7 linked regions of the Coturnix japonica genome follow. The protein of the gene in region 2 interacts with the protein of the main gene of each other region in a biochemical or structural test. Links are inferred from orthologs where the notes say so. Each region holds a gene or a part of one and is shown on either strand. Other genes may lie near its edges. The genes, in order: claudin-4-like, TJP1, JAM3, JAM2, CLDN1, CGN and claudin-8-like.

The links.
Region 1: the proteins of TJP1 (region 2) and claudin-4-like form a complex in vitro, tested with the Homo sapiens proteins (2 studies listed by BioGRID and IntAct, with this or other methods). The link is inferred for Coturnix japonica from reciprocal best matches to the Homo sapiens genes TJP1 and CLDN4.
Region 3: the proteins of TJP1 (region 2) and JAM3 form a complex in vitro, tested with the Homo sapiens proteins (2 studies listed by BioGRID and IntAct, with this or other methods). The link is inferred for Coturnix japonica from reciprocal best matches to the Homo sapiens genes TJP1 and JAM3.
Region 4: the proteins of TJP1 (region 2) and JAM2 form a complex in vitro, tested with the Homo sapiens proteins (2 studies listed by BioGRID and IntAct, with this or other methods). The link is inferred for Coturnix japonica from reciprocal best matches to the Homo sapiens genes TJP1 and JAM2.
Region 5: the proteins of TJP1 (region 2) and CLDN1 form a complex in vitro, tested with the Homo sapiens proteins (2 studies listed by BioGRID and IntAct, with this or other methods). The link is inferred for Coturnix japonica from reciprocal best matches to the Homo sapiens genes TJP1 and CLDN1.
Region 6: the proteins of TJP1 (region 2) and CGN form a complex in vitro, tested with the Homo sapiens proteins (2 studies listed by BioGRID and IntAct, with this or other methods). The link is inferred for Coturnix japonica from reciprocal best matches to the Homo sapiens genes TJP1 and CGN.
Region 7: the proteins of TJP1 (region 2) and claudin-8-like form a complex in vitro, tested with the Homo sapiens proteins (2 studies listed by BioGRID and IntAct, with this or other methods). The link is inferred for Coturnix japonica from reciprocal best matches to the Homo sapiens genes TJP1 and CLDN8.

What each region holds. Positions count from the first base shown.
Region 1 is NC_029534.1:441,889-444,905, reverse strand, and holds claudin-4-like, read right to left. Parts: upstream 1,681-3,017; 5' UTR 1,336-1,680; coding exon 541-1,335; 3' UTR 501-540; downstream 1-500. UniProt on the Homo sapiens protein: Can associate with other claudins to regulate tight junction structural and functional strand dynamics.
Region 2 is NC_029525.1:5,208,226-5,211,725, reverse strand, and holds part of TJP1 (tight junction protein ZO-1), read left to right. Parts: intron 1-2,620; coding exon 2,621-2,753; intron 2,754-3,500. UniProt on the Homo sapiens protein: TJP1, TJP2, and TJP3 are closely related scaffolding proteins that link tight junction (TJ) transmembrane proteins such as claudins, junctional adhesion molecules, and occludin to the actin cytoskeleton.
Region 3 is NC_029539.1:2,091,540-2,095,534, reverse strand, and holds the start of JAM3 (junctional adhesion molecule C), read right to left. Parts: upstream 2,801-3,995; 5' UTR 2,720-2,800; coding exon 2,674-2,719; intron 1-2,673. UniProt on the Homo sapiens protein: Junctional adhesion protein that mediates heterotypic cell-cell interactions with its cognate receptor JAM2 to regulate different cellular processes. Plays a role in homing and mobilization of hematopoietic stem and progenitor cells within the bone marrow.
Region 4 is NC_029516.1:92,152,554-92,156,670, reverse strand, and holds the start of JAM2 (junctional adhesion molecule B), read right to left. Parts: upstream 2,801-4,117; 5' UTR 2,563-2,800; coding exon 2,508-2,562; intron 1-2,507. UniProt on the Homo sapiens protein: Junctional adhesion protein that mediates heterotypic cell-cell interactions with its cognate receptor JAM3 to regulate different cellular processes. Plays a role in homing and mobilization of hematopoietic stem and progenitor cells within the bone marrow.
Region 5 is NC_029524.1:12,063,472-12,067,743, reverse strand, and holds the start of CLDN1 (claudin-1), read right to left. Parts: upstream 2,801-4,272; 5' UTR 2,699-2,800; coding exon 2,476-2,698; intron 1-2,475.
Region 6 is NC_029540.1:2,386,686-2,390,185, reverse strand, and holds part of CGN (cingulin), read right to left. Parts: intron 3,354-3,500; coding exon 3,254-3,353; intron 3,183-3,253; coding exon 2,970-3,182; intron 2,528-2,969; coding exon 2,379-2,527; intron 2,301-2,378; coding exon 2,159-2,300; intron 2,088-2,158; coding exon 1,887-2,087; intron 1,652-1,886; coding exon 1,466-1,651; intron 994-1,465; coding exon 736-993; intron 241-735; coding exon 70-240; intron 1-69. UniProt on the Homo sapiens protein: Probably plays a role in the formation and regulation of the tight junction (TJ) paracellular permeability barrier.
Region 7 is NC_029516.1:93,921,434-93,925,379, reverse strand, and holds claudin-8-like, read left to right. Parts: upstream 1-1,146; 5' UTR 1,147-1,450; coding exon 1,451-2,125; 3' UTR 2,126-3,550; downstream 3,551-3,946.

The sequences.
Region 1 (3,017 bases), on a different chromosome or scaffold from region 2:
CCAGCCCAGCCGCTGCCTTCCCACTCCCAGGATAATGATACCCGCGCCCCGGCGAGCTGCCGAGAGAAATCCTAAATGCGTACAGCCAGGCGAGATCGCCGAAAGTAGGTCAGAGGAAGAACTGGGGGCACGGAGGGGGGAGAGCATCAAACGTCCCTCGAGATCGCACTGCGTGCCACGGAGACACGGCGTCCCCTGGGACAGACTCGAGGGGCATCTCCCGGGGACTCCCCCCATCCTCCGCGGCGGCGTTTGGTGGAGTCGGAGCCGCACGGAGCCGCGTGTCACCGGTGGGACAACGCCCGGCGCATCCAGAGTCCCGGCCCAGAACCCCCCGGCCCCAACGAGGACACGCCGCGAGTGCCCCGAGCTGTCGGGCGGGCAGCCAGGACGGCAGCGCGCTGTTCCCATCCCAGCAGGATTAAAGAACCAGCTCCAATCCCTGTGAACAAAGGCGGCTCTGTCCGCACCCCCCCCCTCGCTCCATCCCCTCCGCAGCTCCCCGGCCCCAGACCCGCTCCCCGCGGGGCATCCCCGGCCCTACACGTAGTTACTGGCCGGCAGCGAGCGCGCCGCGCTGTACTTGGCGGAGTAGGGCTTGTCTCCGCGCGGCGGGCAGGAGCAGCACAGCATGGCCCCCCCCAGCAGCAGCAGCGCCGAGGCCGCCCAGCCCACGTACAGCGACGAGCCCAGCTCCCTCTTCTGGGAGTCGGCCACCAGCGGGTCGTAGAAGTCCCGAATGATGGCGTTGGCCGACCAGCAGATGGGGATGAGGATGAGGACGCCGGCGACGATGAAGGTGATGCCGGAGAGGATCATCACCTTGGCTTTGGCCGTCTCGTCCTCCACGCAGGTGGTGCATTTGCCGCCGGCGATGGCGAGCAGCGTGCCCAGCACGGCCAGCACGATGGCCACCACCAGCAGCGCGCGGGCGGCCTGCAGGTCCTGCGGCAGGGCCAGCATGGAGTCGTACACCCGGCACTGCATCTGCCCCGTGCTCTGCACCACGCAGTTCATCCACAGCCCTTCCCAGATGATCTGAGCCACCACAATGTTGTTGCCCACGAAGGCCGTCTCACGCCACATGGGCAGCGCGCAGCACAGGATGGACGCCAGCCAGCCGATGACGGACAGGGCGATGCCCAGCACCTGCAGCCCCATGGAGGCCATCGCTCCCTCCACGCAGTGCCGCCCGCCGGGACCATGCCGGGCGTTATATGCCCTCGCTGAGGGAGGAGCTCCGCCGTCCCGGCACCGGACGGAGGGGAAGAACCAGTTTCCCAGGATTCCTCCGCTGGCGTTTCTCCCCACGGCCATGGGGCCATGGCAGCCCATCGCTGCTCCCACGGGCCGTGCAGGGATGGGATGAGGCCACCCAGGAGCAGCATCGCGGCCACACGCTGCCCGCAGGCACGAGACGCCTGGATTGAGCCCAGCTCAGGGTGCTGGGGGACAGCGGTGCCATCCGGGATGGGAATTGCTCCAGCATCGCTCCCAGCACCTCCTCCATGACCTGCATGGATGCCTCCGTGCTTCTCTACCTGTTTCCTCCCCATAGCTCCTGCCCTTGCCTCCATGGGCCCATGCCAGCCCCGTGCTGGGCTCCATGCCGGCAGGGCACAAGCACCTCTTGTTTGTTCCCTGGCACGGTACGAGTGCTTCCCATCCCTCCATTCGGCCTCGGGCAGGAGGCACCTCCCCACTGAGCCTCACAAACTGGTTGGAGCTGCCATGGAACAGAGACAGCACTGCTCAGAGTGGGCAGGGGGAGCCCCCAGCCCAGCAGCCCCTCACACATTCACGCCTCCCTCAGTAAACCCCCCAGGATGCACATAGAGCAGCACAGAGCCAGACGGAGCAAAAGGGCAGACACTGCACCACTTCCCCCCCAGCTTAATCTCTGGGAATGATAGCAGGGCCCGGGGTTATCTCGGTTTCCCAAGCACGCAGACGCGGGTGGATAAGGTATCAGGGAAACCCTGTGGGGTCAGAAGGGCCAGCCCCCACCAGGCACTGCATCCTCACACCTGCTGGTAAAACATGACAGCACCTTGCTGATATGATTAATTGCTAATTAATTGCTAATTGTTCATTGTGATGGGCTCTGGAGCTGCCTCTGAGCACACCAAGTGTCTCTGGGCACAGAGGAGGCTCCTGCTCCAACACAGCCCATGGGCCTGGGGTGGCTGCAGCTCCACGATCCATGCATGGTCCATGCTACAAGGATGACACCAGTGTCCAGCCAGGCCAGACAATGGGGACACTCAGGTCTTGCTGCAGCCCTCCCTGCTGCCTGTCTGGGGCAGACACCATCTGCCAAGGTGCTCCCTCAATCCATTCATCCACACCCGTGGAGCACCCACATTGCTGGCATACCAGCGTGCCCACCATGGAGCCAAAGTGCATTCAGGGCTCCCTGTAATCAGAGGGGTGGTGGCTGGGACCTATTTGCCCCACAGCATCCCCTGCCTGGGGCAGCCCCATGGGGAGGCAGCACCAGGGCTGACCCTGCCCCAGGCTGGATGTGGTTTGGGCTCACAGCCGGCTGCGCCAACCACACTGTCATTTGGGGTTGCAGCGGGCGTGTGCACACGTGTGTACAGCTCCATAGGAAAAGCCCAGCCCTGTGTAGGCCGCATCCCTGCAGGGCTCGGGGCCGTGCCTGGGTCTGGGGACAAACAGCAAGGTGGGAGCAAGGCACGGCCATGCACTGTGCAGCAATGTCAGAGCCACAGCAGGTGCCAGCATGGCTGTTTGACAGCCAGTGACCATAACTAAAGCCAAAATGTGACACATCCTCCAAGCGGTGCCTGACATGGAGAAGCAGCCGTCGTGCCCTTCCCATGACCCCCAGGCAGCCCGTGTCCCAGCACTGCCACAGACACAGGGCTCGGCAGGCAGCAGTGCAGTGACAGCAGCATCGCACGGAGCTGAAGGATTCCACCCAGCTGTGCACAGCAGGAGCCCCTCCACACCAAAACGGGGGGCTCACCCCACCCCAAGGCCCTTATCACAGT
Region 2 (3,500 bases):
GGAGTATCAGAGGCACCACAGGAGCTGGCATTTCATTTCTTTACTCTTGCCCCAAAGTTTCACAGGAACCTGTGGATATCTTTACAACACTGAGCTTCAAGATTTCCACTGATTATACTGATTTGATTTTTCTTTAGTTGGTTAAATATTTATTTACTTGTAAAAGCACACAAGTAAATAATGTTATTTAAGAAAAACCGTGTCTTTGAATCGTGATATTCCTTCCCACTAAATTATTCTTTGAAAGTTAAGTGTGAATTTTAAAGCAGGATTTGGAACTGGGAAATGATCACTGTCAGTTGTTCTCCATCAGAATGGAATGATGGGTGGATTCCAGGGGCAGCAAGCTCTGCTCCTCTCTTCTGTTTTTTTTTTCTTTTTCCCAAGCACCTTAGAAGAATGGATCTGACAAGTGGGAAAGACTTCAAAATGCATCACTAGTTTTACTTCTTCAAAAGCTGTGTGACTTTGATTAGTCTGTTATTTTTATAGGCTTTCTTTCACTTTATTTTATTACATATATTTTAAGGCTTCTTAGTATGAGAAAACATTAAAAGACTTTGAATTTAAATAACTATACATCTAAAGGCCCCGGACTAAGTGGTTTGAAATAGAAAGGAAAATTCAGAAAAGCCTGGTGCAGCTTACAGTTGTTCAAAAATATTTCTGTTAAATGTGAGGAAGAAAATATTATGAAGTTATTAAGCATTTAATTGGCTGGAGGTAAACATGAGGACTTAATGACCCAGGTGACAATTATTGAAATAGGCAACCCTCATAGATTTTCTGGGGTGAGAATAAATCCAGACTTACCTGTGGTGAAAGCAGTGGATCTCCTTGTGGGCTCCATGGTCAGTGTGTGGTTGCATTAAATACTTTTGGATTCACTTTATCAGAAGTGTTTGCAGAGTCCTGTAACGTGTCCATAAGACATTCATACAAGGAAGATGTATGATCAGCGTAAATGTCACTTTTTGTCTGTGAACAGGCATTGTGACAGAGCAGCTGTCTTTCCTTGGGACTTTGTTTTGCTGATTCTTTAAGACATTTCAGCAGGAAATCTGTGGTGTTGATTTGGTTTCTGTGTGCAATTCCATTACAGTAGCAGCGCAGCATCTTTCTCTGAGCTTACCCCATAAATAACTTCACCAAAAAAATCTGGTGTTGTCTAAGCTGGAAGTTTATGCGTTTCTGAATATTAGTTATGTAACAATTCTGAATGTTTTCTTTTCTTGCAGTTGAAAGTTCAGGGGTAAATTAATCCAAGGGGGAAAATATTAATTTGGAAATCACAGCAATTCAACAAAAAATGAAGGTCTTTGTAAATTGAATGAGAAATTTTAGAATCTCTCTCTCTCTCTTTTTTTTTTTTTTTTTTTAATTTACAAATTTTATTGCTGTGACTTTTGTTTCTCCAGCCTCTTACAAATGTGCATGGGGACATTTTATTCCTGCCGTTAAACAGTGTAGATCCCAGGGTTCCCCTACCTACACAAGTATATTCAGCCTGGATATTTTGTACTTGAAATTTTGTGTGTCGATCATTAGCATGGCTCACTCTATGCAGTGTCTCTTTGTGATGGCGTGTACCTGTAAAGGCACACACCTTTCCTCTTTATTTGTCAAAGCACTTATGTACGTACTGAAGCCATTAATTCCAAGTTTAAAAAAAGAAACCCTAAGATATATAGGAATCTTAACGGTTACAGAGAAAATCACTGAACTGTTGTTGTCCACAGCCTTGGGCAATGCAAAAAAGATGTGTATGGATAGATGTGTGCACACATGTTTTGGTGGCCTCTTACGCCTGCAGTTGCGAAAAAGAAGAAATGTAAATCTGCTAAATAAGACTTCGTTTTTTGGATGCTCGTATTTGCTGGAGCACAGTACTCGCTTTCCTAATGCGGTGTCACACTGACTAGAGACTATTTTGCATTTAAAATATTGACCTTTCGAAACTTATTATATTTAGTTAATTGTTAACCCCATTTACATTTACTCATTAACAACTTTCAACAATCTATTTGGCATCTGGGGAGCTTACTCAAAATACTTCAATTGCAAGCTCCTCTTAGAACTATATTTAGATGACCAATGTGATGAAAACCTTAAAAACTATAGTTTTAATTACCTCTACAGCTGTAAAAGGTCCTTTTCATTTAGTTATTGCTCATCATTATTCTTCGCTAAAACATCTGAAGTGCCGTTAGTGCTTAAACTGGAAAAGGTCAAAAGCCAAATTCTGCCAGGGTCCCTTTGATTTAACCAACAGACAACAACGTGTATCACAGAACACAATTTTTAAATTGAATTAGTAGTGAAAAATATCCCTTCTAGTTTTTCAAAAGTAAAATATGTTTCTCTGTACTTTTTTGATGCTTCTTACATCAGTGCAGAAAATGTACAGATGACTCAATCTGCAAGCAGTGGTGGATTTCGTGGGAGCTGTGTTTCCTCACCTTTTGTTGTCTTATTTTGATGCTGCCTGTTTGAAAACTAAAGGTTGGATTGAGACTCCTGTCATATCACCCTTGCACATTTTTTGCTTGTATATTAGAAATGTGATATATATAAAGCGATATATTCTTTGTCTGATATGGATCTCTTTTTTATTTGACAGGGTAACTCCATCTTCCGAAAATCCCAATGGTGCTACCTGTAGTGTAAGTCAGGGAAAGCCTTCTTTAAGAAGAATAAAAGGGAGAATACACAGAAGCAAGAGCCTTGATAGCATTGATTTCTGTGAATTCACTGTAAGTACTTTGTCTTTTACATTTATTCTATCTGAAGTTACAAGAATTTTGCTGATAAAGGCGTCATTCCTCTTGCATTTGGTTTATGTCATTGTTAGAATTGAAAAAGGAGTTGTATTTAATGTTAAGAGTTAGGGTTCCGTGTTGGCAAATGTAATGAAAATGATATTGCTTATGTAATTACTGATACATACTCTCATTTTTGTTCTTGAGTAGACATTAGTCTTGTATCTTGATTTCAGGTTTTGATATTGCCTCATGCATAACAAGATGCAGGAATGAACTGGAAGTTGAGTAAATGTGAAAAATAAATTGTGTTTTCAAAATCTATTTTCATATTTACAATGTGGAAGTTGTATCCACATTAAAAAATATATATATTTAGCCAATTTTCAAAAGCTTTTTTACTATATGCAGCTGTAGTAGGGTACCAGAGAAAAATAAATGCATACAAATTGTGTGTGTTCTCAGACTACTTAACATCCTTGTTTGCATCTCTTTGGTTACACTTACATACGTTTTTTCTTTGGTTTAAGAAAATTTATAGTGATCATGGTTTTGTGAAACTTGTATAGCTTGTCCTTTAGAGATTTAATAGAACTTAGAGAAAAAATTTGCAATAGAGACATGTACAACTTTTAATTACAGAAGTATTTACGTTCAAATAACAAAAGAGAGAAAATGTGAATGAGTGTGGATTGATTAGGTGGGGATAGATTTCCCACCATTTATACTGGTCAGAAAAGA
Region 3 (3,995 bases), on a different chromosome or scaffold from region 2:
AGGTGAGGTCTGGCAGCACAACCTGTGTTCCTGGTGCAAACCCTCAGTGTGGGGATGGATGAGTGAAAAACAACCCAGCAGGCGGGGAGACCCGGAATTCAACTCTTAAAGGAAAATAAACACATCAGTGAGGAAGCAGAGTTCACTACCAGGGCAGCATCTCCATCCTCTGCTCCTTCTCCCTACAAAAACCCCACATTTTACTCTCTGGATCTACTTGTGCCTCAATAACCAACTAATTCCTGACAGCATTCCAAGCAAAAAGGAATGCGCTGGTGTCACGTTCTTTGTCAACAGCTGTAAAGCTGATGGGATCCAACAGCTCTGCGGTGGTGGTGCCTGAATAGGAACACCAAGCCCTCCCCAGGAATTCTTTGGAAGACATTATTAAGCATCTGATTTTGGCACTGCTCTCGGAGCTGATGGTCCTGCTTTCTCACTGCCTGCTGAAAGGAAAGCATGGCTGCAAATAGCTCCTATCAGCAAGGAACAACATCGGTGCTGCAGCAGGGCCAGCAGCGTTTGCACCAAGCAATTCCTGGTGCTGACAGCTGAGTGGGAACAGTTGTTGGTGGCTGGGACAGATGGACTTCATAGCTTACACAAAGGGAAGTAAGGACTTCTGTTTGCTAGGTTGAGAAATGGCCTTTGCACAATTCAAACCTCAGAGATAAATCAAAGGGAGATTGGAGCACGCTGAGTTTGGCACCGCAACGTGCCAAGGACCTGCCTCCCCATTGAGGACGTGCTTTTATTTTCATCAGGAAATACTTGTGAATTTTGGGAAGGGCTGCACAGCTCTGCCCTCAGTCTGACACGTGAAAGCTTCCAAATCCAAATGCTGGAAGGTTGCAGCAGAGGCATCGAGGCAGGACGCACCATAGATGTTGCTTACAAGCTCTGCTTTCCACCACTGATGCTGATAATTTCCGCTAGCATAATTACGGCCATGGCATTTCCCTCATATGCAGAATCTTTAGATGCTTTTAGTGCCTGGAGCGGGGTACACACTGCACTCTCCATGCTTCACTGCCTTCTGTGCTGTGGCAATGTTTTGAGGCCATGACCAAGAGTTGGGTCCATTCTGGATAGAGAAGCACAGAGGCCATCCCTGCTCTATAGTCTAAGAAGCACATTGAGCTCCTAAAGCAGTTTTGCAGCATCTCACTGGCCTTGTTGCCTTCCTTCTCTGCCAACCAGTGGGCTGGCATCAAACACAACCCTATGGGACCACACAGCAGCAACCCAGTGCACCTTTAATGTAGGATTCCTCCCGGTTCACTAATATGACTATAGTGCAACCAGGTGTGAAAGCAGCGGGGTCTGCCTGCATTCAGCAACTCCTGCCTGTCCAAAGAAGCACCCAAGTAGCTGCAGCTCATTTCCAGGCTGCTGTCTTTTAGGCCGCATTCAACAGGATGCTCAAGCACTGCTCCAGCACAGAGGGAGGAGAGGAAATGCCCCTTGAGCCCAACTGCAGGAGAAGCTGAGTGAAATCTGCTGTTTTTCCTCACTCAAATGGAACACCCAGATCCAAAGTTGGGACCTGGATGACTGTGATGCTCCGGGTACTCACAGTTCAGCCTCAAACCACAGCAAAGCAAACAGAGCCCCCCAGTTGCACTCCTCATCCCAATGGGTGCTGCAGTGGAACGGCTGTATCTTCTCACCCCTTAATTTTGGAGGGAACAGAGCCCAAATCTTAACTTAATTCAAAGCCCCAACGTCTGAAAACCATTAGGGACTGAAGAATTCCTTTGTCCTTAGATAAACTGGCTGAAATATTTCAATGCACTCCAGTCTCGAGCTGACCCAACGCAGTTATTTGTGTGCACAGCCCCGTGGATCTCAGTGGCTGAACTTTCCAAGTCAGTTGCTGATTGGCACTCTGACCTCCCTCCATCCCTTCTCCTTCTGTCGCCTGCCTGGAAGGGGGGAGTGGGGGGTGGGGGGCAATGGGAGCCCACCGGCTGCTGTCCCCCCCTCTTCATCCCCCCGCTATTAATAGCCAGACAACAAATGAGCCCGAATTCATTCCTGAGCGGAATTAGCAAATGTTTTTGCAATTAAAAACTGCAAACATTCATGCGGGCCCCCGGAACAATAGGAGCCTGTGCCTCGGCTTGAATAGGGACCAGTGTCCGCCCTGCCTGCCTGCCGAGGCTGCACATTCCTGGCACCCTCAGCCCTGGACCCGCACCTCGCTGAGCTGCTTCCCCCCCCATCTCATCCCATCCCACAGCTCAGCGCCCTTTGGGGTCCTGTTTGGGGTAGAGGCAGCGCATCCTTCCCATCACCGCTCACCCCGGGATGGGACGGCGGCAGAGCATCCTCACTTCGCCGGGACCCCGATGAAAGTAACACATCCCTCCTGTTCCCCACGATCAGAGCAGCACATCCCCTTTCCTCTCCGGGTTATGGGCAGCGTATCCCCCTCTGTCCCCGGCACCAGCGCACCGCGTTCCCAGCCGGGACGGCGATCAGGGCCGTCTCTGCTCGGGATGGCGATCAGAGCAGCGCATCCCTTCTTTCCCCGAGCTCGGAGCGGCGCATCCCCGTTCCCGACCCATCTCCGCGGCACCGCATCCCTTTAACCCCCCCTCTGCGCATCCCCCCCAGACCCCAAGGACCCATCGGGCATCTCCGGGCCGATCTCCATTGCCCGGCACTCACCGAACAGGGGCAGCAGCAAGAGAAGCGCCGGCCGCCGCAGCGCCATGATGGGGTGTGCGGAGCTGAGCCCTGCGCTGAGCCTGCGCACTGCCCCGACGGGGGGAGGATGATGAAGGGGGGCGGCCCGGGGGCGGGGGTGCCGCTGATGTTGCTGCGGTAACCGGGCGGGGAGCTGCGAGGATGGAGCCTGGCACGGAGGGGCTGCGGATGGGGCGGCCCCCGGGGTGGGGATGGGTTCGGTTATGGGCAGTGCTGGGCGGTGGGGGGAGGTTTGAGTGCGTGGAGGGCTGTTGGGGGGGGGTGTGCCCTGCTAAAGCTGACTCGTGATGTGCAATGAGCGGCGGTGCGAACTTTTGGACGAGTTAAAGCGAGGGAGAAACGCAAACAGACAGAGCTGCATCTCGTGCTGTGCAGAGTGAGAGCACCCCGAGTCTCTGTACAGTCCCCAAAAGCATCTCAGAGCCTTTTCCATTAGTTAACGAGAAGCAAGTCCCTGCTCCATTTGATCCCCTGCAAGACCAAGGATAAGGGGATGTGGCTCTGAGCCTGATGGGTGTCCCATTGCATGGAGCAGAACCAGATGGACTTTAAGGTCTCTTCCACCCCAGATCCTTCTGTGATTTGAAGTCAGGTTGGATGGGTGCCGGCTCGTGCGTCAGTGCGCTGTGATGGGGATGTAATTAAGATGCTGTTGAAAATCAAGCAGCTGGAATGAAAGCCAAGCTCTTCTCTGTACCACGAGCTCGGCAGAGCGGGTTGAAATTAAGGGATGTAAAAACGTATTTAACTTGATAACGTGGTGGATCTAACTCTCAGTGCTAATGAGGAGACTTAAAGGGCTGATCTGAGCCTGGTGAAATTAATATGAAGGCACTCAGTCCTAATGGCCAGATGGGACACTTCAGTGATGATGCGGGGGATGGACTCGCTCAATAAGACTTGATGGCTTACAGCCCAACAGCACCAATATTTGGGCCGTGTCCCCATTAGCAAAGAGTCATTTTAACCTGTTTCCTTTGGACTGAAGGGATAGAGAGATAAAATCCAACAGCAATTAAACATCACTGAGCCACCAAGTTCCTTCCCGACACCAAGCAACCACCTGGGCAGGGAAAGCAGCAAAATGGATGTGAACTCAGAGGACAAGAGTGGGGGATGAGATCTGGAATATCACCTCACTTCTATGCCCACCCCTGTGTGCTGCCCCACGGCTGTGTCAGGGCACAGCAGAGCCATTGGAGATGTGAAAAGGAGTCACGATCAATATTATACGATATACTGTGCCCATCAAGCCAGGATGGCAAAGTGCTGCAGTGTACAAC
Region 4 (4,117 bases), on a different chromosome or scaffold from region 2:
CTGCTGCCATGACTATTAATAGCAACAACTTCTGTACGTTTCCTAACTCACACCAACAGAGCTCACAAATCTTAGCCTGCTCACCTCTGAAAACATTCACAGGCAGCATCATTTTATGGAGCTCACACAGATTGAGACTGTATGACTGACGGTCTCTAACTCCCCTTACTTTCTCCTAAATTAAAGATGAGAGAGGCTTTAACTCGGAGAAACCACTCCTTCTTTGGAACATTAGCATTTCTTACTAGGCTCTCACTGAAAAGACCTCAGCACTGTTCTTGGCTATGCTGACTTCCTATGGCCAGATTATCCAGCTCTTAACTCATGCAGCTGAATTACCAAGCAAGTTCTGTACAGTTGCACTACAGCATAACCCTCATGCTCTTCTAGCATTAATCTAATTCTTTCTTTTCCTCATTAGCTTTTGCCCATTCCCCGCTAACTCTGCAGCATGTTGGGATCCGGACCCACACTAGAAACAACTCAACACATACATCTGACACGAAAGCCAGCATTACTCAGACTTATTGTCAGCATGAGCACACTGGAGCTCCAGGAACAGCAGCAGACTCCCGACAGCTTTCTCTGTCTGGATTTCCTCCAGCTCACAGAAACAATCAGCATTTGCACACCCACCTGCAGCCACTTTCTTCATGCAAAAAAACTCCATCTTAGCACACTGCTGGTAAACTGAGTTCTCTCCACCTGGCATTTTTTTTTTTGGGAACAGTGACAGGAAGAGAGAAAAATAAGTGTATGCCAACAATTCAGTCAGCAGACCTAATGAACTGCCTTCAACCCACCCTGTGGCATTTCCATGCTGACCACAGCCAGCAGTATCAACACACAAAACCCAACAATGAGCAGCCTGAAAATGCTAAACCCACTCACTTACTCACTAAATAAATAAAACACAGTAGCCTTATTTAATTAGATATGCCCACGAAACTAACAACAAATAAAGAAAAAAGATCAAAGAACCCTTTTTTGTCTTAAATTCACTGTGTGATAGAGGAAGCCACCCACCTAACAACCCAGGTTCTTCATAAGGTCTTGTACAGGTAAAAACAAAGGAAAACTGCTACCAAACCAGAGAACAAGCATAGTGTACATCACTTGAAGGTCTGTCCTCTCAGAACATTAACAATCATTAACGTATGGAAAAGATCATTAAGTCCAACTGTCACCACGCCCACATCCCTCAGTGCCACATCCACACAGCTCTTAAACATCTCCACAGACAGTGCCTGCACCTCACCACTCCTTCTGAGAACAATCTTTTCCTAATATTCCAACCTGAACCTCTCAAGGTACAACTTGAGGCCATTCCCTCCCATCCTATCACTGTTATCTGGGAAAAGAGGCCAACTCCCACCTCACCACAACATCCTTTCAGGTGGTTGTAGAGAGCGATGAGCTCTCCTCTGAGCCTCCTCTTCTCTAGATTGAACAAACCCACCCTCCCTCAGCTGCTTCCCATCAGACTTGTGCTCCAGACCCCTCACAGCTCTATTGCCCTGTACACACTCCAGGGCCTTCTTGGGGAGGAGGGGGCAAAACTGAAAACAGTTTGGTGAAGACAGAGGAAAAGAAAACCAACCACCAAGCCAAAGAACTAGCAGAGTCACTTTGAGTCTGCCCTCCTCTAAAAAAGGTCTTCCACACACAAATTTATGTTAGATGAGCAGGAATTAAAGTTAAATGCAAGAGTGCCCTACTGAGCAGCTGGAACAGGCAGGTCTCAGGTTCTCACTTTGTTAGCAAGATAACATGACCTATACAATTCTTTTTCCAGGGCATCCTTTCCACATATTGTCTCTTTCCCAAAGGCAGCAATGAGACACAGAGCACACAAGAGCAAAGTCAGATGTGATCCAAAAGCACCAGCCTCTTCAGATGACTGGCACTATGAACACCACATATTCATTCACTGCTTCTCTGCAGCTACTCGGCCCCGTGCTCTGTTTTCACTTATTTCCATGTGCTTTCTGGGTGGGTCAGCTTTTGCCAACTTCACATCTCTCCGCCTGGTTTTTCAACGAGTTAAACGGGACCGTAAACGCTCTGGTAACATCAGTCTGCTCCAAAGCAGCGCTACCCGCAGAAAGCACGTTTCTGCCACTTGCCCGTTCATCTCTTAGGATCCCTTCCCCGTAGGGCACGCGGCGCAGCCCGCATCCTAACACTCGCAGCGCCGCACAGAGCGGTCAGCTCGCCTTAAGGCTGGAGCGACTCAACATCCGCGCCAGCCCCGCGGTCGCTGCCCCCCAGGGCGATGCAGGGACCCGCGCCCCAGCCGGGCTCCCCCCGCGGCGCCCTCTACTGCCCGCGGGGCAGCTCCTGGCCGCCACCCGCCTCCGCGCCCCGCGTAGCCCGAACACAGCAGGCGGCCCGGGGGCTGCGGGAGCGCTCCCTGAGGCAGGGACAACTGTATACGCACACCCACACGTGCACACAGACAGACGCGGCACCGAACGTGCTCCCAGGGAAGAGGCGCGGCAACTTACAGTAGAGGACCCCCAAGTACCCGAGGAGCAGCAGGCGGAGGCGGCGGCTCGCCATCTTCCCGGCAGCGGCCGCTTCCCGCGGGCGGCAGCGGATAATCACCGCGGGGCGACGCCGGCTGCGGCGGGGCGTGGGGCGCGGCCCGGCCGGCGCGGAATGGAACGGAACGGAGCGTAGGGGAGAGAGGGGGCGGCCCGGCCCGGCCTCGCCTCAGGCGGCCCCCGCAGGGCTGCGGGGCTCTGCGCTCGCCCCGGAGCTCCCCTGCGGAGCGGGACCCGAAGGGGCGGTGCCGGCCGATAGGGCAGATCCAGGCGGCGCCGGGGCAGCAGGTGGGGAGCGGGCGGTGGGCGCCGAAGTTTGCGGCTGTCAGGTCCTTCGCGTCCCCGGGCTGTACGGGGCGACCCCGGGCCCCGAGTCGTCCTTCAGGGCTCGTAGCCGTGCCCACTTGTCAGCTCTCCGTGACCGTATGTTCGTGTTTACGTGTGAGTTCACGGGCGTTGGCAGCGGCAGAATAAACTTTGGCTTCGATTACAAAAAGCTTAAACTTCTCCCTCGAGAAGCTCACCGTCACTGCTTGTGTTCGCTTCTGCTCTCACACCCATCCAGGATGGAGAGGAGCGGGATGAAAACGGGTGTCACAGTGTGAATGGTGAAATAGAAGTGCAGGTGGATGCTCTGGGCAAAAAGGGAGCAAGGTGACAGCAGGGAGCACCTTCAGACACAAAGCTCAGTCACAGCCATCCATCACACCCGTGCAGGGCAGGATGCTGTGTGCGTGTGTACGCCAGCACAGCAGGGCAGCACGGTCACCTCTGCAGCCTCCTGTCTTGGCTCTTTATACTTGGCTTGTAAAGTTGTTCATTAAATATGCAGGAGGTGCAGTGGCCTTTTAAATTTAGGAATCGGGGAAAACAACTCATCACAACCAATTCTGCATCCGAGTCGTTTCTAATGACATCTTAAAATACACTAGTGATGTGATATGGTTCTGTAACAGGAAAAGTTTTACAAGTATTTCTGATGATCAGTGCAGCAACACTGGCTGCATTTTTAGACTGTAGCAAAATGGGGAAAGATTATTTATAAATGAAGTATCCGGCAGCTCTTTTAGTAGCAACCAGAGGATTAGGATGAAACTCTTCACATCAAAATCTGAGTCTATCAATCAAGTGCAAAAATGTATGTAGAATACAAGCAATATTTCTGCTAAAAAAACCCAAAAAAACAAAAAACAACACCACATTTATGTATGTATATATGTATATACATACACACACGTACATATGCAATAATCAATGCAAATAATCATGTCAGTGATAGGTAAGAGAGGAAGATGCCTATGATTCCACTTACAAGCATGTAATGCAGGGGGAAAAGTACCGCTCCATGAGAACTGGCTGTCTGGTTAATGGTTAAAAGTGGAAGATTTAATTCCTTTGTAATCACTCATATATCACAGTTTACAAATACCAAACTAGAAGACATGAATGGAAGAGCTAATGAATAGTCATCTTCTCACTGCCATCAAAAAATGAAAAGAAGTTTAAAGCCACGCTTCCCAGCTGCATCCCATTCAGGCATAAGCCTGACATGCCTCAAGCCTACTTGTGGA
Region 5 (4,272 bases), on a different chromosome or scaffold from region 2:
AACACAGCCTTTCTCTATTGCCTGAATGGGAGCATGTCCCAGCCTGACATAAGCCCTCAGCTGAATGCAGTGTGGGAGGAGTGCCAGCATGGTGCACTTCAGCAGCATAACCACATGGGAAGCTGAAGGCCCCTCAGTCGGCTAACAGAACCTGGCAAGGTTCTGCCAACCCCAGCAACCATAGGTATACGTAGAGAAATGGGAAGAGCTCCCAAGTAGCCACAAACTTGCTAGCAAAACTTCTCACCACTCCCACAAGAATGAATTACGGCAGGTGATGAGAGTCAATCCTTTCTATGTGGGCAAAGTAATTGCAGGATCAGAGCCTCTCCCATCAGCGCACGAGGCTGAGACACCTGGTTCAGGGCACATGCACGATGCCCTGGCAGGAAAACAAGAGCCAGGATAAATTCTGCAGCCCACATTGCTGTATCACCACATAAATGAACACGGGAAAAGAGCCCTGCTGCACAGCTGCACCTGTCCCAGGGTGAGGCTGCCAAATCGGGTAAGAGCTGGCAATCACATCTCCAGCCAAAACAACATAACAGATCACTGCCCAAAGACCTCGAGGGGAGAACAGACAGGAAAGCAGAAAAAGGCACAATGTCCTTTCAAGTGAGAGGGGCACAACCTGAGAAAGCTGGGGTGCCAAAAGCAAAGGACATTTAAAGCCTGTTGACTTCCCCAAGCAAGAGAGCGTGCCCCGGTATTCCCATATTTCTTATCCTTCTGGGAATCTTCAGGCCCCTGTAGAGCCAGGAGCTCAGTAAGGGGATAAAGGACTGTTAACGACTCAGGCTCAGCCTCTGGCACCTCACTCTCCCCCGAAGCCTCGGAAGAGCCTCTATTGTCCGCAGAACAAAGGTGAAGGGAGCAGCCGCTATTGAGCGCTCAGCGCTGAACAGGGCAGGTTTGGAGGAGGCAGGCAGGGCTCGGGGCTGATTCTGCAGGCAGCCTCATTTACAGCAAAATGGGCTGCAGCCAAAGCCCCCCAGGCAAGTTTTACCTTTCGCAACCGATTCAAGGGGCAGCCGGAGACTGTTCAGCCCCACCGGCATCTCCGCCCCCCCGCCCCGAGAAGCGAGATAAAAGGCTTCAAGCTGAACTTACATCTGAGTTATCACTGCACCCAGTCTGCATCGCCTGCTTAGCCCACCCAGCCCTGATTAACCTGCACCTCAATGGGGCTGAATAGATCCACCGCGTTCCCGAAGGGCGTAATTTGCACCTGTGGGGCCCACAGAGCCGAGGGAACTGTTGGTGTTTGGTAGCAGCGAAGGTGGGGCCCGGGGTGGGCAGCACTACAGCATGGCATGGGGGAGGCAGTACGGGAACTTAGGGGCACTCCTAATGGGCTCACTGTGATGTTACATGAAACGACGTGTTTGTTTCTTTGGGAAAGAGAAGGCGACCAAGGTGGTAGTTAAGTGTTTTATTCATTAGGGAGGGAGAAGGATGAAGATGTTCCAAGGACAAATCGATCTCACTGGTCCCTGCTATGGGGTGGGGGGAAGAGTTAGAAGGAAAGGAATATTTTTTAAAGCCCCCTTAGATGTTAGCGTAAAGTCAGGTCCAACCAACTGCCTCAATACTCAGTCCTCCAGAAACAGCCGAGACAGGGACAGCTCAACGTAACAACCACCATCGAAAGGGGTGCGCTGTGTTCCTGCGCAGCCAGCTCAGGATGGGACAAAGGATCTGGCGTTACCTGAACGGACTACTTTGCCTAGAAGCCTCAAGTAGCGCTGCCTGGGCTGGGAGCCAGCTCACCTGCCAGCTCTCTGCCTAAAACCCCCGCAGGAGGAGCGGTGATTTTCCTAGGTAACATTTCCCAGAGAACAAAGTTATCCCGTCGAAGTGCAACAAGAAGAACAGAACAGTCAAACACAAAAGTATCAGTGCCTGCAAAGCCAAATTCTGCAGTGTTTTCCACAACTTTGCCGCTGAGGCATAGCCCAACAAAAACAGTCCCTGCCCATTCCAACCACTTCAAGTTCTCTCGCAGTCGTGGCGCGTCTCCGGACGCACGAGAGGGACCCGATATTCCGTCCCCGAGTGCTGCTATAGGGACAGGCAAAGGGCTGCGGGTCCCTACCCCCTGCCGGATCCTGCCGCGCTGAGGACACGCACCTAAGCCCCGACGGGACGAACAACGAAGCAAAGGGGACCCAGCAGGACGGGTCACCCTGAGCCCTACACCGTAACCTCGTAAGGGACCAGTAGTAAGGCGGAAAACTTCAGCAAGATTAAATCCTAACAATCCAAAGGGCAGCAGCCCCAACTCATTACATCGTCGGCACCTCATCAGCGATGCAGAGAGCACCCGACGACAGTGGCACACCCGCTCCCAGCCCTTCAGCCTGAGCTCCAACAAAACCGACCAGCATAAAGTGGGAAAGACTCGATGGGACAGGCACCCTCAGCTCCCATATGCTCCCCCCCCCGCCGCCCCCCAGAACCACCCCGACTTACTCTCCAGCTTGAGCAGCGAGTCGTACACCTTGCACTGGATCTGCCCCGTGCTCTGCATGGCGCACGACATCCACAGCCCCTCGTAGAGTGCCTGGGCCGTCACGATGTTGTCCCCCGCGTACGATGCCATCTTCCACTGGGGCATAGCGGTGCTGATGATGATGCCCATCCAGCCAAGGAAGGCCAGTACGAAACCCAGGAGCTGCAAGCCACCGCTGGCCATGGCTGCGCGGGGCTGCTCCGCACCTGCGGAGGTCGGCTACGATGAAAAACGCGCAAATACAACCAGCACCGTACAGCGCACTGGCACCTGCGCAGCGCTGCGCGTAACTTTTAAAGCCGCTCAAAGTGCGCCTCCTAGCGGCCGCACCCCCCCCCCCACCGCCCCGCCCAGCGGGGGTTTCTGCGCTGCTCCCACCCGGTGGGTGATACTTCGCACCTCTGGGGGTGCTCCGCCTGTGCCCATCGGGTGGGATTTGTGGGGGGTTTCAATGCTTGCACTCATGTGAAACATCTTCCCCAAGCTCCCCCAGCACCACCGCTGCGGGGCGAGGGCACAGGGCATCTCCCACCGGGCACACAGCTGTGGGAAAAAAAACAGTAGAGAAGCAATAGAAACTATTATTTTCTTTCTGATTTTAAAGAGCTTTCAAATGCTGCCGGGACGCTCAACCAAAGTTTCGATTCCACCGTTTCAAGAAGGACCGAGCGCTGTACCTCTTTGTTAAATGAGAAATGTACCTTTCTGAACGCTTCAGTGAGCGCAGTGATTTTAAAAGGTTTATTGAGCAAGTGGATTACAGACCAGGAAGGAGTGCCTTCTTTCTCAAGCGTGTATTTGTCTATTGACTATAGTTTCCCTTTCTCCTGCATGAACGTTTGGGTATTGACGGTTCCGGTCTCAATGAGGGAACACTGTGTCCCTCCCAGGGCCGGGAGGGGAGGGGGGGGAAGCATGGTGGGGCTGGGTGGTGCTGCCCGACGGTCGGCTTGGGCCTGCCGTAATTCCAGCTCTGGGATAAATAGGTGGTAACTACCGATAAAGGCTTTGCTGGAGGTGGGGATGGAGCTGTATTGTTTTGACACAGTGGTTTTAGTGCGTTCTGATGACTGAGGGGATTTTGCTGGAGCTGCTTCCTGAGGTTGCACACAGACAAACAAGCAAGCTCGTGATTACCTGACCGGTACTGCGCAACGCCGGGAGAGGGGGGAAGGGAAGGGGGGGCAAAGGGGAGAAAAGCAACTGCAACCCGACCACAGAGGGCAGGGATAAAGCTGTGCTGCCTCGCTCCGAGCTCTCGCAGCTGCCCAGCTCACCGGTGTGATGAAATCTATCCTCACTCGGCAGCAAACCTATCCAGTCGTGGCGTTTTAAGCTGGGAAAGCAATTAGGTAGCTGTGAATCTGCAGCTGAAGGAATGGTGTTTTTCTGGGTCTTCGTGGAGTCCAGTTTTATAGGTTTGGGAGGGAAGAAGAGGAAGGCAGAAAAGTTTTCTTTGGCAATGCAGAGATAATAAAGTAGATTCATCACACTGCGCGTTCATCAAAGGTTCTCTTAGAGGGAGCAGAGAGAACAGGGTGGTGCTGCCCTTCAGCTGATCCCTGGGAGAAGCAGTCCCTGATGAAGAGACACAGCAGAAACCCACACTCACCCGGGGAGAGCAGGGCTAGGAGTGTCTAGACATTGATGTCTGGGTAGTGCTATCAGTCTGATAATGTCCACCTGCAATGGAGTGCACAGAGTTCCTGGGTGCTTCAGAGCACTGAACCGACTCACCCTTTCCTGACCATCCCACA
Region 6 (3,500 bases), on a different chromosome or scaffold from region 2:
GAGACACAGTGTGGGGACAGCAGCCTCAGGGTCACCTGGGCCACCTGTGGCCAGCAGTCCCTGCCATACCTCATCCTGCAGCCGTCCCAGGCTGAACTGCATCTTCTCCACCTCGGCACTGCGGTCCTTGGCTTGTTTTTGGGAATCAGTGATCTCCTTGCGGGATTTCTCCTTGCATTCCTCCAGCTGAGCCTTGAGAGCAGCCAGTGAACGGTTGGACTCCTCCGTCATTTGCTCAAGCTGTGGGAGAGCACTGGGATCAGAGCTGGGAAGGGGTGCGAGGGGTTTGGAAGACATTGCTTGTCCGTGGCACTGGCAGAAGCCCGTGACATGGGAGCTGGAAGGCACTGGGACGCTGTAGGTGCCCCAGAGCAAAGGACAATGTGACCCCTGATGCAGATCCATGAGGACAGCATGGATTTAGGGAGTGTGAGCACAAACAGGGACATCCCGACGTAACAGGGAAGGATCTGTACAATGAGATAAGCACATCCAAAGAGTGGGGCAGAGCCCTGCAGTCCTGCACCCCTGCCCTACCAGGGCCAAAGCACCTCAGAGACCAGCGAGACATGGGATACCCCACCTGGAGGGGATCCATAAGGACCACCGCCCTCTAAGCCCTCCCCATGGGATGGAGCTGTGGGTTATGAGAAGGACGAGATCTGTGAGGACCACAGCCCTCCACCCACACCCCACAGAGGGGCGATGGGGCAGTGGGGTGCAGGCGCTCCCCACCTCTCTGTTCAGTTTCTCAGTGCTGCGGTCCAGCAGCCGCTTCTGCTCCTCCAGCTCGCTCTTGGCGCGCTTCAGCTGCTCCTTCTGCCTCTGCTCGTCCTGGAGGGATGCGCTCAGCTCCCGCTGCTCCTGTGTCAGCCGCGCCATTCCCCGCTGTGCCTCATCCAGACGCGTCTCCAGGAACCTCTGCGCCCGCAGCAGCTCCTGCTCACGGTCCGTGGCTTCACCCAATGACTCCTCTGCGAGTCTGCGCTCTGCCTGGGAGGGAGGGAGAATGGCTCCAGGGGACGGCGCTCTCCTCTACGATTCCCACTGTCCCCAGTGTCCCCCCAGTGCCATGTGCTTCCCCTGTGACCTCATGTCCCCAAATGTCCCACAGCACTGTCAAAATAACCCTCAGTGCCTCTACACCCCCCACTGTCTCCATGTCCCCCAGTATGTACAAATGCCCCCCTGGCACCACCTGCATCCCCCTATGGCCTATCATGCCTCTAGGTGTCTCCCTGTGTCCCTAAGATCCCCAGTATTCCCCACATGTCCCCATGTCCCCAGTGTCCTACTAGTGTCACCTGCATTGCTTCATGTCCCCAAACATCCCCAGATATCCTGAAGCCCCCCAGCATCTCCCAGTGTCCCTCTGGTGCCACCTCCATTCTCCCAAGTCCCCACGTTTCCAATAGGACCTCATCTCACCCCGTGTCCTTCAGCCTGGACCCACAGCCGCAATTACCTCCAATTTGGTGACCTTCTCACGGAGCCGTGCCTGGGAGCCCTCCCAGTTTTCCCCCATGCGCTCGTAATCCTTCAACTGCACCTCCATGCCCTGCACCTTCCTCTGCAGCTCCTCGTGCTGCTCCTGCAGCTTCTGCAGTGCTGCCTCCGCTGTCTTCTTCTCACCCTCCAGGGAAACCTTTGCCTGCAATGCAGCCATGCAACAGGAAGGGCCTCATGGCCACCAGCCCAGCCCAGGAAATGTGGTGTGAAATTGGGATCCCATTGCAGCGGTGTGGTGAGATTGCCCCTTGGCTTGTGGCTGGGCAGCACTGAGCCCTTCCCTCCCCTTCCCATTTCAATCTCATTCAGTCCCCATCCTCTTCACTCCAACGCCATCGCCATCCCCATCCATACACCATCCCCATCCCATCTCTCACCCTGACAGCCTCATCCCTCTCCTCCCGCAGCCGCTCCATGTCACGGAGGCACTGCTCCATGGCTCCGCTGTGGCTCTGGGCCTCATCCTGCACAGCGCTGCGCAGCACCTGCAGCTCCTCTTCCCGCTTCCGCACCACCTCCTCCCGCTGCTCCTTCTCCTCCATCAGCTCCTGCTGTGCTTTCTGTGCCCGGCGCAGCTCCTGGGGACGGGATGGGCTCAGGGACCCTGACAGGGCACACACAGTACCCAGATCCCCCCTTTGCTACGCACCATGCGCAGTGCTTCCATCTCTTCGGGGTCAGCTGCGCTGCTCCGTGCCCTCTCCACCTCCTCCCGTGCGGCCGCAAAGCGCTCCCGCAGCTCCCGCAGCTCCTCCTCAAACTCCTCCCGTTCCATCTTCACCTGCAGCAGTCTGAGAATGGGAGTATGAGATGGAGGGGGTCAGTAACCCCCCACAGCCCTGAGCACACCCCGATTTGCCGGGACTCACTCCTGCTTGGCAGCGCGCAGCTCGTCCTTGTTCCGCTGGAACATCTCCCTCCAATGCCCCGTCTCCTCGGCGCTCTCCTCCAGTTCACGCTGAAGGTTCCGCACCACCGCACCGATTTTCTGCTTCTCTGACTCCAGGTCAGCCCGGTTCTGGGGAACAAAAGGTGGATGGCTCCAAGTGGGCATCAATGGGGGATGCTGAGACCCTGCCCAGGGGTGCACTGCCCAGGGATGCTCCAAGGGTTCTCTGGGGATGCTCAGACCCTGCCCAGGGATGTTCCACCAGGGGATCTCCAGGGATACTCTCAAGGATGCTCAGGCTCTGCCCAGGGATTCTCTGCCCTGGGGATGCTCAGATTGTGCCCAGGAATGCTCTGAGCATGCTGAGGATCTGCCCCATTTAACACCACATAGAGCAGCTCCCCAGGAAGCGACCCAAGGATGCAGTGGGCCCCACAGCACCAGGCAGCACTGATAAGCTCCAGGCTTCCCCAGGGATGGAGCACAGAGGGGTGGGGGCAGGACACAGAACCTCGTCATGGTGTGCAGATGGAGGATGTGAGGACACAGGTCCCAAACACAAAGCCCTCACCTGCGAGATGTCCTCCACGCTGCGCCGGAGCTGCTCCATGTCACTGTGGCACTGCAGCCGCACACGCTCCAGCTCACGGTCGTGGTTGGCCACCTCCTCCTTCAGAGCCCCTTTCAGCGCTGTCAGCTCCCGTTCCCGCAGCCTCAGATGCTCCTCCAATCGCTGCCGGGAGCTCAGGGCCTCCTCCAGCTCCTCCTGGGCCTCCTCCAGCTCCTGGGACACGGAGGTGGCTGTGGTTGGTGGCACAGTGAAGGATGGTTGTGGAGCAGTGCATGTGGACATACCTTGCACAAAGCGCTGGTGTCCATGGCTGTCCCCATCTCTGTGCGCATCGCTTTCAGCTGCTCCTCTGCCCTCATCTGTGCCGCCTTCGCCTCCTCGAGCCTGCAGGGACAGCAGCCCTGAGACCCCACAGCACACAGCAGAGCCCTGAGACTCCACAGCACACAGCAGAGCCCTGAGATTCCATAGCACACAGCAGAGCCCTGAGATTCCATAGCACACAGCAGAGCCCTGAGATCCCACAGCACA
Region 7 (3,946 bases), on a different chromosome or scaffold from region 2:
AATCCACTGTTGTGTCTGATTATTTTCTAGATTTTTGTTTGCAGTTTTAATAGTTTTGACTTTCACGATGTCCTTCACCTGAACTTCCCAGTATTGTCCATAGGTCACTGAAGATATCTTCGATGTACAGCTCACCTGCTATCCATAATTATACTTAATTTACACTATTATTTTAATGATGTCTTTCTAATGTGTTTGTTTGCATGCTGGTACCTCTGATGACTTTTTATCTGGAGAGCCAATAATTTTCAATGCACTGAACTGCATCGTGGGATAATTCAGTCTGGATATGAGGAAGAGTTTCTTCTCAGCAAGAGCAGTGCTGCAGTGGCACAGGCTGCCCAGGGAGATGGTGCAGTCACCGTCCCTGCGAGTGTCCAAGAGCCGTGTGGATGTGGCACTGAGGGACATGGGCAGTGGGCATGGTGGGGGTGGGCTGATGGTTGGACTGGGTGATCTTAGAGGTCTTTTCCAGCCTTAATGATACTATGGTGCTATGATAAATGCTGGGGTCACCTTTACACTGGAAAACGCTGTATTGTATAAATCACAACTCCGTGCAATGATTGAAGCACGTGGACATCTCCAGAAATTTGCCTATCCCCACATACTCTGTAGAGTATAAGTATAAAGCTATATGTGTATACAGGTATTAGCAGGTCTGAGGACTCTTATTGTTCCTTTCTAACTCTTCAGTGGTGTTTTGAAGCTCTGACTATCCTCTGAGGAGATATCCATTTCAATCTCAGAGTCCCTTTGTCCCTTTGATTTCCTTTGTTCCCTGGTGCTCTTGCTGCAGTGCTCTCCAGGCTTCTGAACAAGAGCGCTTTGCAGGCAGGGGCCCAGTGGTGGGGCAGGCAACTCTGCTTTCTTCCTGGCCCACTGCCACTGCTGCTGTGGGAACCTGAGCTGAGCTGGGGTCAGAAGCAAAGTACTGTACATTCAAGGCAACAGCTTCATTGAGTGCACCAGCATACACAGCCTCTGCCTGCAGAGTCTATTTCCTTGGCTCTGACAAATTTATAGACAAAACCTAGGGTTAAGGGTAGGGCTTTTTTTTTTTTTTTTTTTTTTTTAAACTTACAAATAATCAACTTCAATGCAAATGTACCTATCCCAGAAGGTGCATTTATACTAAGTGGCTCCTGCCGGTTTACACACACCCCGTCTCGTCTTGACTCTTGCTTTGGAAAGCTGTTCCACTTGATTGCTCGGTTTGCCTCTTTGAGTCAGTGGTGGCCTGGGAATTATAAAGATGACAAAGGCTCAGCCAAGTCCCTGGTAGCGCGTGCCAGATTCGAGCTGATTTAAGGCTGCGCAGCCTGACTCTGGAACTTTCTTCACACAAACGAAAGCTACTTTTGGACAGTTTCTTTCTTTCTTTTTTTTCTTTCTTTTTTTTTGCCATCTCGTGGAACCTGCCGAGCGGTGCACACCTTGCAGAGGCAACATGATCAATGGTGCATTGCAGATTGCCGGGCTGCTCCTCGGTGGCCTCGGCATGATTGGGACATTTGCAGTCACGGGCATGCCTCAGTGGAGGGTGTCTGCCTTCATCGAGAACAACATCATTGTGTTTGAGACCATTTGGGAAGGCCTGTGGATGCACTGCATCAGGCAAGCCAACATCAGGATGCAGTGCAAGGTCTACGACTCCGTGCTGGCCCTCTCTCCAGACCTGCAGGCATCCAGGGGATTGATGTGTGCTGGGTCGGTGCTCTCCTTCCTGGCTTTCCTAGTTGCCACTGTTGGAATGAAGTGCACGCGGTGCCGGCAGAGCGGTTGGCCGACCAAGGGCTATATCCTCTTGGCAGCTGGGCTCCTCTTCATCCTCTCAGGTACCACTGCACTCGTTCCAATCTGCTGGGTTGCCAACACCATCATCAAGGACTTCTACAACCCTGTGGTCAATGTGGCACAGAAAAGGGAGCTTGGTGAGGCCCTCTATCTGGGCTGGGTGGCTGCTTTCTGCCTTATGGCTGCTGGAGCCATATTCTGCTGCTTTTGCCGCTGTTGTGAGAAAACCAGGAGCTACAACTACTCTGTGCCTCCTCACCAGCTGCCACTCAACCAACACTTGCACGGGACCACCGAAAGTGCCTACTCCAAGAGTCAGTACGTCTAGATGCCTCCAGCCTTTTCCTCATTCTTATCTTTTCTTTAGGCATTTTTTAAAACTGTTCAATCTGTCTGGATGGATTTGAATGAAAGTTGCCTTTCCTCCTGTTCTAACTGCTGCTGTGGTCACTGCATACAACCCTCAGTGGGCTCTTCTGGAGTAACGCTGCAGCATGGACAGTTGTACCAAATGGGAAGATGAATGTTTAATGCTATCTTATAGCAACTTGGAATAGCTTTGGGGTTGCGTGGATCTGCTTTGGGTTGCATTTTATGTGTAAAATAGAAATGAAGGGCTTAAAGTTCCATGGCGATATGAAATACAGGCCTACTGCAAAGAAAAGGGGTGCTGAGCTTATAATTCCTTTTTTTTTTTTTTTCTTTCCTGGGAAAGAGGGATAACAGTGAATAAGGACAAGATAACAATGGTTTAAAAGAAAAGCGTTCACTAATGGATTGATTTACTGTGGGTTTGCTGGAGAGTTTTGTGAGGAATTTATTCATCAAAGGAAGGTAAGCTGAAATACATGAAAAATACCCCTTATTTCAGAGAACAAATACAGCTCTATATTCATCCTAAATACCATCATTTTGGTGAAAGTTACTATTTCTTTTGTAATCCATAAAGGTCGAACTCATTCACATCCTTCTTTTTAGAAGTGGCAGTTTTCCCAACTCCTTGTAACTCAGAACATTTTGTAGTATTGCATAGGTTGGACTGTGTTGGCTAGCTGCCACAGGATGCTATGAAATATATGCCTGTGAAAAATGATCTTTTGATCAGTCAGGCCCATATTTTTGCTGAGATCCACTCATACCAGCATGGTTTATAGGCAAAAGAGCATAAACAATGATAATATTTTCTAACAGCTAACACCAAAACAAGCTCAACAATATTTTTAATAACAAGATCATGTACCCATAATAAAGAACAATGTAATGAAACTAAGTCTACAGAAAAATAAATGTAGCTCCATAAAAATTAATGTAAGAAAAGACCAAAATTAATCAATAGTGATAATATTTTTAATAGAATTTTGTAACCTCGGGCCTGTGGAAACTAATGGCATTTTGCCTTTGACTTAACTGATGACACAATTCAATTTGTGGTGTTTAATGGAGAACAACATTTTTGCTCTCAAGTGTGATTGACTGTTTTAAATATTTTGTAGAAAGTTTATGATGTGATCTGTAATTCTGTGGCAAATTCCTTAGACTATTACTACTTGAAAAATCAGAATCAAATTCTTCATAACATGCAACTCTGAGCAAGCTAGAAAAAATAATCTTCACACTACTCTAAAACTGTCTCTTTGTAGTGTTTATAAGATCAATATTAAGATATTCAGGGAAAGTTCAAGTTGGATATTAGGAAGCATTTCTTCTCAGCAAGAGCAGTGAGGCAGTGGCACGGGCTGTCCAGGGAGGTGTGGATGTGGCACTGAGGGACGTGGGCAGTGGGCATGGTGGGGGTGGGCTGATGGTTGGACTGGGAGACTTAGAGATCTTTTTCTGCCTTAATGAGCCTGTCTACTTGTGTATGTAACTTTATTTTTTTCTCCTTATTTTTAAGCAAATTATTTCTAAATGTGTATATGTGTAATGATCATGAACTTTTTGTAATATAGCAGTATGTGCTTATTTTTCCTTCATATTCCTTCACTAATATTTATACTCACATCCAATCTCTTTCTGGGGGGAAAAGAAATTGGAGGATCCTACATGAACTTGTAGCTAGAACACCAGGATTTATAACAGTGTCTGCAATAAAGTACTTGTTGAGTTCAACCCTCTAAAAAGTGGGTGCAAGATCTCACTTAGAAAACCA